Linked DNA regions of Kluyveromyces lactis. The protein of the gene in region 1 interacts with the protein of each later gene in a pairwise test. Links are inferred from orthologs where the notes say so. Each region holds a gene or a part of one and is shown in the gene's direction. Other genes may lie near its edges.

Evidence for each region.
Region 2: the proteins of GIR2 (region 1) and RBG1 interact in binary tests that used the Saccharomyces cerevisiae proteins (3 or more experiments, as listed by UniProt). The link is inferred for Kluyveromyces lactis from reciprocal best matches to the Saccharomyces cerevisiae genes GIR2 and RBG1.
Region 3: the proteins of GIR2 (region 1) and GCN1 interact in a two-hybrid assay, tested with the Saccharomyces cerevisiae proteins (2 studies listed by BioGRID). The link is inferred for Kluyveromyces lactis from reciprocal best matches to the Saccharomyces cerevisiae genes GIR2 and GCN1.

Annotation. Positions count from the first base shown.
Region 1 is NC_006040.1:1,411,118-1,413,734, forward strand, and holds GIR2 (Gir2p), read left to right. Parts: upstream 1-1,272; coding exon 1,273-2,076; downstream 2,077-2,617. Other genes in the region: putative mRNA-binding protein CTH1, read right to left, coding at 1-262; ENT5 (Ent5p), read right to left, coding at 2,390-2,617. UniProt on the Saccharomyces cerevisiae protein: Acts as a negative regulator of the GCN2 kinase activity by disrupting the GCN1-GCN2 interaction in amino acid-starved cells.
Region 2 is NC_006042.1:2,172,465-2,175,718, forward strand, and holds RBG1 (GTP-binding protein RBG1), read left to right. Parts: upstream 1-1,625; coding exon 1,626-2,735; downstream 2,736-3,254. Other genes in the region: FUN12 (translation initiation factor eIF5B), read right to left, coding at 1-964. UniProt on the Saccharomyces cerevisiae protein: Involved in ribosomal function.
Region 3 is NC_006042.1:1,148,722-1,152,812, reverse strand, and holds the start of GCN1 (Gcn1p), read left to right. Parts: upstream 1-1,203; coding exon 1,204-4,091. Other genes in the region: KLLA0_F12452g (uncharacterized protein), read left to right, coding at 1-604. UniProt on the Saccharomyces cerevisiae protein: Ribosome collision sensor that activates a translation quality control pathway when a ribosome has stalled during translation. Directly binds to the ribosome and acts as a sentinel for colliding ribosomes.

The DNA of each region.
Region 1 (2,617 bases):
GAGATTGAGGAACAGTACCGAAAGAAGAACGCGAGAAAAGGTTTGGTAACTGCTGGTACTGGAACTGAGGCTGCAATTGTTGTTGCTGTTGCTTCGACAATCCATCGTCACCCGCATCATCATTCAACAGAGTCTTGATGTAGTACTCTTCGATCTCGCGAATTCTAGCATCGTAATCTTCATTTTCGTTCGAAAACACAGACGAAGTCTGTGTTGAACGAGACGAAATGCTAGCACTATGGTTGTAATTGGTATAATTCATTGATGATAATATATATACTTAGATGGCAGAATTCTTGTCTTCGAGCAATATTTCGTCAATTAATACCACCAAAAGTGTTGCTAAAATGCCTTACTTTTTAAACTACAAAGGAGCCAAGATAACAAGAATGGTAATCCAATTATAACTCTCCAAGCGATGTGACAATACCTAGGTTATATATATATATATATACGTCTGTAAACCTTTAGTGATACCTGTCGTTGTTAAGTCTGACTGACACCCAGAAACTCACAAGAATGGGAAATCTGGGTGCTCTTAAATATGACAACCCTCAGAATTGCCCGTACAAATGCAGGTCATTGAACCATATTAAAAGGCTTTTTGCTCAGTGAAAGCAGGCCAGACGAGTCTTAATCCATTTTTCAAGGTGCACCGTGCGAAGTGACTGCACCTCGAAACTGGAATTTTTCCGTATCGAAATCCGGAACGGCTGTGTTGAGGATATTACCCGGACACAGAAGAATGCGACACCCGGAAAACGGAAGTTTTGAGGAGAAAATGTAATGCACGTGATTAACAATCAAAGGTTTCTGGCTGATTTCCTCTAGTTTCTCCACTAGTTTTGGGTGTGTGTATGAAAAATGAGATAGGACTGGAACCGGTATATTTTATTTCTTTTTGTTCCTAGAGGGGTCTTGTGGGTTTTCTAGGAGACAGAGAGGCTCACCTCTTTTGGCTGCGCCAAGCATTTATTTCCGCCAGTTTCCTTTAGGTAGTAATCGGGTTTTTGCATGACTGAGTTTTTAATCCACGTGATAGAAAATGAAGAGGGTACATTCTGTATCCGGGTAATGTTGTATCTGTTTTAGCACACTTCTCACTCTGTCAGATTTTTCAAGCATCATCATCATTATCATTGTCAAGTTGAAATTTGTACGGCCAGTCCAGTTATATGCAGAGGAAGCGTGTTACGAAATGTACTGAATACACATTTTGAGAGTTTACCTAATTGTTTCTATACGCCCTAACCCCTTCCAGTTAACTACACAATGGACTATAAAGAAGAACAGACGCAGGAACTTGAGATTCTAGAGTCGATCTATCCAGATGAATTTACTGTTCTGAACTCTGAGTACCCAGAGATCGAATTACAAATTGATATCAAATTGGACCCCGTACCCTTGGATGATTCTTCATACACCGTGGATTCGATAACTAATGATCATATTTTGCATACTATTTTTACTCTACCAGAAAATTACCCCGATGAAGCACCTCTAATTAAGATTATGCCGGAAGAAGTGCCAAAATTCGACAGAGATGATGAAGATGTGGATGACGAGGACGATGAAGATAAGGACGAAATTGAATACGATGACCATGGTAACCCGATAGTATCAAAATTCGAAAATATACCTGATAAAATCCATTTCGATGAATTTATACCGCAATGTATCGAGAAATTGAATGAACAAATCCAAGAAGATATGCTTCTTGGGATGCAGATGTGCTTCGCTTTGATTTCCAACATCAAAGACTACGCCGAACAGTGGTTCCAAGAAAAGCTAAGTGAACTGGAGAAAGAACATGATAGGTTGCTGCTGGAACGTGAAAAGGAGGAACAGAAAAAGTTCAGAGGTACTAAAGTGACAAGAGAATCATACATCGAATGGAGAGCCAAGTTTAGGAAAGAACTGGGGTTGGACGAAAGAGACGCCCAGAGACGTCTTGCTGCCCACCAGGGGAGACTTTCTGGTAGACAGATCTTCGAACAAGGACTTGCTGGCGATGAGGATTTGGATGAGGAGAATGAATCTTTGATCTCAGAAGGTGTAAAAGCCATAGCAGTTTAAATTCTCCATATTTTTATAACACTTCTAATGATTGATTTCATAATATGGCATCACTTTAAACCTTAGACTAAGCATAGTTAATACACCTTCTCATTAATGAAGGTAAAAGTCTCACGGTGCAAGGTCAGGTAATTTTTTTCATATATTTACAGTATATAGATAAGAAAATTATGATAATAATAATAGTAGGGGTTGTGAGTTCTAGTTGTAAGAATATAAAATATGACAAGTCCCACTAGCCATGTGATAGTTAATGCTATTCAATCGAGGGAGCCTCTTGATTCGAATTGTTATGTTGATATACTTGGGAGTTTCATATTTGGTTTTTGGACATAGAGAATAGATCAGCAAAAGCATCGGATTTCGTGCTGGCGTTGTTATTGTTGGTCGCGGCTGGCGTCGTGGTGCTGCTAGATCCACCGAAATCTAGAAGATCATTCAATGTAGCATTATTATTAGAGGTTTTATTATTATTATTATTATTATTATTATCGTTACCAAAACTGTTAAAGTTACCAGATGCAGGTGGAACTGGACTTTT
Region 2 (3,254 bases), on another chromosome or scaffold:
TTGTTTCTTCTTTTCCTTCTTGTTCTTCAGGTTCATCGTCAAGAGCCAAATTCTCCCAGTCATCAATCAACGCTTCCTCTTCTTCTTCGACTTCTTGAGTTTCAGTAGCTTTCTTCTTCTCTTCTTCGATTGCCTTTTCGGACTCGATTTGTTCCTTGGTCTTTCTGACTCTTTTACCGTAAACAACCTTCTTTGGTTTTGGATGCTCATCGCCGGATTTTTCTAGACCAGCAACCTTGATGTTACCGGCAGCCAATAGAGCAGCACGTCTGTTTTCAAGCAGTTTCTTTTCCTCCTTTTGTTTCTTAGTTAGAAGTTTACCCTCTGCCTTTAACTTTTCACGCTTAGCTTGTTCTCTCTCACGCTTAGCCTTTCTAGCTTCTTCCTTTTCTTGTTCAGCCTTGGCCAACTTTTCTTCTTCTTCCTTCTCCAATCTCTCTTCTTCTTCCCTGGCCAACCTTTCTTCTTCTTCTAGCTGCTTTTGTAACTCCAATTGACGTTTCAAAGCAGCAAGACCGGCTGGGACCTTCTTCTTTGGTGCAGCCTTTGGTGCCGCACCTTCAGTGGACTTGCCAGCCTCCTTTTCAGCCTTCAGTTTAGAAGTTTGTTCAGCATGAAGTTTCTTGTTGTTTTCCTTCTGCGCTTGTTGCTGAGCCTTCTTCTTTGCGGCTTGTTCCCTCTTCTTCTCCTTCTCCTTCTCCTTCTTTTCCTTTTCCTTTTCCTTCTTGGACTTCAAGACTGGCTTCTTAGTATCCTCGTCTTCCTTCTTGTCCAGCTTCTTCTTAGATTTCTTCAAAGTGGACATAAAATCTTCCTCAATGGCAGATGCATCGGCAACTTCGGTTTCACCACTTGGCTCAACAGAACCATCTATCGAGGGTTCTACTGAAGATTCTTGAGGAACATCTTCCTCATACTCTTCGTCCCAGTAATTCTGTTGATTCTTCTTTGATTTTTTCGCCATCTTGAACTACTCTTTCGGATACAAAGGTTCTACTTTTACAGTTCTTCCGAAATCTTATTATGATAGACAGCAAACAAAGTGTAAAAGAGGGTTATAACAAGTAAAGAGATAATGTAAAATCCTTTTAATTGATCTTACGCAAAACAATCTTTCAAATAGTTTTAAGTTGTGAGAAAAACCTGTACTAAAAAATAAAAAACTGATGAAAAACTTCAAGTTCATGATTATACGTACCTCGATGGAAAGAAAAAAATAACATACTAGATTACCCTGTCTTTGGTGAGGTGCGCCCAAAATTCATCTTTCAGGGGCCAGAAAGGTCCCATTAGCCTTATTTTCGGGGTGAAGACCGGTCGATGCCATTCAGCATCGCTATTTACGATCGGCGTTGAAGATGTATAAAATATCACCTTGGACGGCTTGAAAAAAATTGACAGCTTCATCTTTGTCAACAGTAGGAAGTTCTACAGATATTCACAATCTCATCGCTTAGGATTAATGATATTAGAGTTTCATTATAGTTTGGTTACAGAGGCCAAAATCAGTTAAACGGTTGGAATCGATAGGTATCAGTCAGTATTCCACTGAGGTTGGCATCAAATTATAAAAAAAGGATTTATTTTGAAGAATTTCCTGATCAATATCTGAATTGAAATAAAAGATGTCTACGACAGTAGAGAAGATTAAGGCCATCGAAGATGAGATGGCCCGTACCCAAAAGAATAAGGCCACTTCTTTTCATTTGGGTCAGTTGAAAGCTAAGCTAGCGAAACTTAGAAGAGAGTTATTGCAGGCTGCTTCAAGCGGTAGTGGTGGTGGTGCCGGTGTTGGTTTCGATGTGGCCAGGACCGGTGTTGCTTCAGTCGGATTTGTTGGGTTCCCCTCAGTGGGTAAGAGTACTTTACTTTCTAAGCTGACTGGTACAGAATCTGAGGCTGCTGAGTACGAGTTTACCACTTTAGTTACGGTTCCAGGTGTCATCAAATATAAGGGTGCTAAGATTCAAATGTTGGATTTGCCGGGTATCATTGACGGTGCTAAAGATGGCCGTGGTCGTGGTAAACAAGTTATCGCTGTGGCCAGAACTTGTAATCTACTATTTATTGTTTTGGACGTTAATAAACCATTGCATCATAAACAAATCATTGAAAAGGAATTGGAAGGTGTTGGTATCCGTTTGAACAAGCAACCTCCAGACATTTTAATCAAGAAAAAGGAAAAAGGTGGTATCTCCATTACAAATACAGTACCATTGACGCATCTAGGCCCGGACGAAATTAGAGCTGTTATGAGTGAATATAGAATCAACAGTGCGGAGCTTGCTTTCAGATGTGATGCCACCGTCGATGATTTGATTGATGTACTTGAAGCTCCATCAAGAAGGTATATGCCAGCTATTTATGTGCTAAACAAGATAGATTCTTTGTCATTAGAAGAATTGGAACTTTTATACAGAATTCCAAATGCAGTTCCAATCTCTTCTGGTAAGGAATGGAATTTGGATGAACTACTAGAAGTTATGTGGGATAGACTAAACTTAGTCCGTGTTTATACTAAGCCAAAGGGTACGATGCCTGATTTCACAGACCCAGTGGTGTTAAGGTCGGATAGGTGTACCGTAAGAGATTTCTGTAACCAAATTCACAAATCTTTAGTTGAGGACTTCAGAAATGCTTTAGTGTACGGCAGCAGTGTGAAGCATCAACCTCAATATGTGGGGCTTAATCACACATTAGAAGATGAAGATGTTGTCACAATTTTGAAGAAATGAATACAGGCTACTTTTTTTTTCTCATTCTTCTCACCGTCATCATAGTTTTTAGCATTTTCATCGCATTTTCATGTAGTGTTATCCATTTTATTTAACAGCTTTCCATAGACGGATCTGGTTAGATTATCGTAAACGTTCATTACTCAGGTTGCCATAACTTCTGTTAAACATTAACTCAATACTGATTTGTCGTGTTATGTTTAAATTCATAAATAGTAGTAAATATATGATATTTTGTGAAATCGATAGCAACGGATACATATGGCCTTTTTATATTGGCCAACATATATGTTAAGATATAAAAGCAATGATGGATGCTGATGGTGATATGGAAAGAAAGAATGAATGAATGAAACTTCGGTTATTTGACGAAGTGAATATTATTCTATTAGAAATGAATGTGAATAGTATTGGTGGAATCCTCAAAATCACAGCAGTATTTTAATGAATCCTTTTAAGGTGCGATATAGTACAGCTTGAATTAACAAACAAGGAAATCTGGAGGAAAATGCAGCCTAC
Region 3 (4,091 bases), on another chromosome or scaffold:
AGGTGTTGGACTTTCTCTACCTTCTAAGAGCAAAATAGAGAGGTCCTTCAGAGAACGAGCACTAGAACTAGAGGATTCAGTTGATCCCTTATCTCGAGGATCGACTGAATCTGGCTCTAACTATACGAAGAAACCGTCTTTGTTTAGCGGTAAAGTCAGAAATGATCCACCGTACCACAACCAGAAGTTATCCACTTTAGATAGTCTTGCTTCACCAAATTCACTCCCACCTGTGGATTATGTCATGGAACTAATTTACGAATCTGCAGTCTTAGTGAGTGACGTGAAATTGATGGTTAGATGCAAGGACTGCTTGCATATTTCTAAAGAAATCAAAACTCTCAAGAAAAAACTTGCACAAGATATGTCTGAAATTGATGACACTTTGATGAAACAAAGAAGACAGCCAACTTTGCGTTCAATAACGAGACCTGAATCTCAAGAGCAATCTCCTCATCTTCCACTTCACACACATAGTAATCCGCACCTGCCGTCACCGTCACCGTCACCAAATCTCAAATCTTTTGAAAAGATCACCAAGACAATCTCAAACTTGACTATTGGCACTGGAAGGTCCAAGACTAACCAAAGTAACAAGTCTTGAACACGATAAGTTTAGACTTGACCTTACACATTATATGACTTTATGTATTATAATTGAAAGTTTTCAGTATTATTTTGTTTCAACCATACTAGTCACTATCATGCAGCGTCAGTATAGTTAAATAATATCGTACCTTCTTTTCTTCATAGAAAATGATAGTAATTTTCTGGACAAACTCTGTGTTGTCCAACCAAGTGGAAAGTCCAATTGATAACTGAATGTGAAACTGCTACAAATCGCACATTAAAGAAAGTATCACTTGCGAACTACTATGCCCATTAATATATCAATGGGATGATTATAATACTAATTATATTAAGTATAGTATTAGCCTCAAGTTAGTTACAATACATCATTTTGTACGTTTTGATCTTGTACTTTTTTTTTCTTTCACCAAAGCTTTTCAGATTTGTATGTTAAAATCTTGAATAGTTTTTTAAACAAGAGCAGAGTTCATTATTTCAGAGATGAGTTGTGATTTAAGCAATGTTGTTTTAGACGCTTATCAGCGGCAAGCCATTGAAAATTACCGACTCTTAATTTATTAAAAGTACGACATAGTTGAGAAGTCTCATCTCATTTTTCAACAGTATTTACGGATGTCTACTTGGGAAAATTTAGAGCCTGTTCTTTACAGAGACTGCCACGCTTCTTTATTGACAGTCAGGCTACCGGTATTAAGAAGTGCCCTAGAACTGTTAAAATCCAACGATAAAAGTAAAACTGATAGCTCGGCGTTGGAATTGATTTTCAATTGCGTACTAAGCACTTATGATTTATATCAGGATAAAGAATCAAAAGTTCTAGTCACTTCAATCCTGGTCCAATTGTTTGAAACCGACCCCATCTATTGTAAAAAGATAAGTGATTTTGTTATCAAGACTGCCAGCACTCAAAACTGCCCTTCTAAAGCTGTTACTGATTATTTAAATTTATTGGAATGGGTGCTTAAATTTTTGAATTTGATTTATGAACAATCAGATGAGCTCTTCAATGTTTATTGGAAAGAAATAGTCCACGCTTATGTGATGCTTGTAGCAGCTATCGAGACTATCCTAGATACCCATGAACCTTTTAAGAAAGATTTGAATAAGCAAAACCAACATCGTAAGAGATTGAGGCTCTGTGTCTTCCAACAATCTGTTAAGAGTTTCGTTAGTTGTGTGAACCTGGAATCTACTACAGATTCAAAATCTAATATTGTTGATGATGTTATTCCATTGTTATTAGACAACTACTCGAAATTGAAGCTTCCAAATACTGGTGTAGTTATCACTCTGGGATCCCTAGTTCATTCTGTATTACAGTGCCAAGCCAAGAAACCAATTCCTTTGCATTCGCTGGAACAGTTGACTGAAAGATTAGTAGAGTATCTCGGTAAAGAAGTTATCCTCGCCAAAGAGTTGCCTTCAGCATTCTGTTTGGAACTTTTCCTGAAAGAATTCCTATATTCATTTGTTACTGAAGAACAAGTTCAGAAGCATTTGATTCCAAGCTTTGAGAAAGCAAATTTAAGATCACCAGAAACATCTTTCACCCAATCTGCTGAATTCTATTCGGCGTTCAATTCTAACAAAGTTAATAGTTTGGGTTTATTTGTTTCATCAAAATGCATTACTCAAACCTTTACATCATTCAAAAGCTCAAAAGATATCGTACGTGAAAGCTCCTTGAAGTCCCTAATATCATTATTGAGGTCAATATGTTCTGATTCCTGTGACGAATCATCTTTACAAAAACTTGTGGATGAGGCTTTTAAGAACATGAAAACCAACCTGAATACCGACTATAAGATTATTATATCCAACTTGTTAATAAATGTACCAACTTTCTCCAATCAAGTGTCTTCAAAAATCGTGGATGGGTTGAGAACTTATATTTCGAAGGAATCCAATGAGACAGCATTGAATATTATGTTATCAGCATTTTTCCACCATTTGTCCTCATTAGAAACAGCAGACGAAGTTTCAATTGCTGCCATAAAGTCCGGTTTTAATGAGAATAAGTTACCTTTGAGAAAGATATGGTACAATTCTTTTTTAAGCAACCTAAACACTGCAAAACTAAATATCATTGTTCAGCTCGAAGACGAAACACTTGCATATCTGAAGGAGGTCTGTAATAATCCATTAAAAAATGGAGAAGGTTCAGCATATGGATGTTTCGTTTACATTCAACATCTTATTGACTTGAGTGCAACTGCAATACTTTCCAAAATCGATGACATCCTTGAAGCACACAAGGAGTCATACGGTCTTTCTTGGATATATGTTACCCTATCCACGCAAGTGCCTTTTGAACAGAGAAAGCAAGCTTTACAGCTTCTAAACTGCGCATTTTACAGGAACCCACAATTTGTCGGCAATGCAATAATTGATGCTTTTGAAACTTTGTCAAAACAAAAGAATGATACTCTTTCGCGTATATCATTTTGTTTTGCAGCACCTTTATTCAATACCCTATCTCAGAAACTTTCGGATAAGTCTGTCTCCGTACATTTGTTAACAAGGCTGTTAGTATTATCCCAATTAGACGGCATTAAATTGAAGAATGGATGGGCTGGCTTAGTCCTTAATGCAGAGTTGGATCCTTCTGAAATAGTGAGACAATACGGTGAGAAATTATTCGACAATATGATGTATTTGCTTAACAGCGCTGATAAAACAACACCAGAATTAAGAAGAGCCATTATTAAAGCCATTTCTCACCTCTCATTTATCAATCCTGAGATCACCTCACCTTTGGTAGCAAGCATGATTCAATTAAACTTGGATACAACAAAACTATCTGCTGTGACAGAACAAGAAATTGAAATCTGGAACGGAAAAGAAGGTACACTTGTCGTCGATGTACTCTCTGCAAAACAATCAGCTATCTTAAACAACAAGAATTCAAAGGATTATGAAATTCTAAAATGGCAAGAAAGTATAAGAAAGGACCAAGCCAAGAAAGGTTCAAAGAAGTTGAACAAGGAAGAACAACAGATTGTCGACGAACAGTTGAAAAAGGAATCAAATGTTAGATCAAGTATTAATGAGCTCGTTTTATCTGTGAAATGCGTTATTGATATCATTTCTCAGTTGGCTTCTGAAGCAAATCTTTTGGATAATGGTATCAAATATTGGTTCCCCACATCTGTGAATTCGTTGTTAGATATTCTACAACAGAAAAACTTTTATTTGCTATTTGGATCACTCGGATTTGACGTATTTTTGCAATTATCCTTTTTGTTGGATGATAGGTTAGGAATGTTCGCTAAAACTGTTGGTTACGCAACGATGATAGTTCATAGAGTTCCTCATCTTCTTTCAGATCTGAATTCAGAGACTAAATTGGAACTGATTTCAACTGCATTATTCAAAATCAAACATGGTTGCAGACAAATACCTTTCCAATCTATGGCATTGACTTATATCCTTCCACTACTCGTAAAAGTAATGGAAATCGGTAAAAAAGTTGCAATCAAGAATGCTAATAAACCTACAAA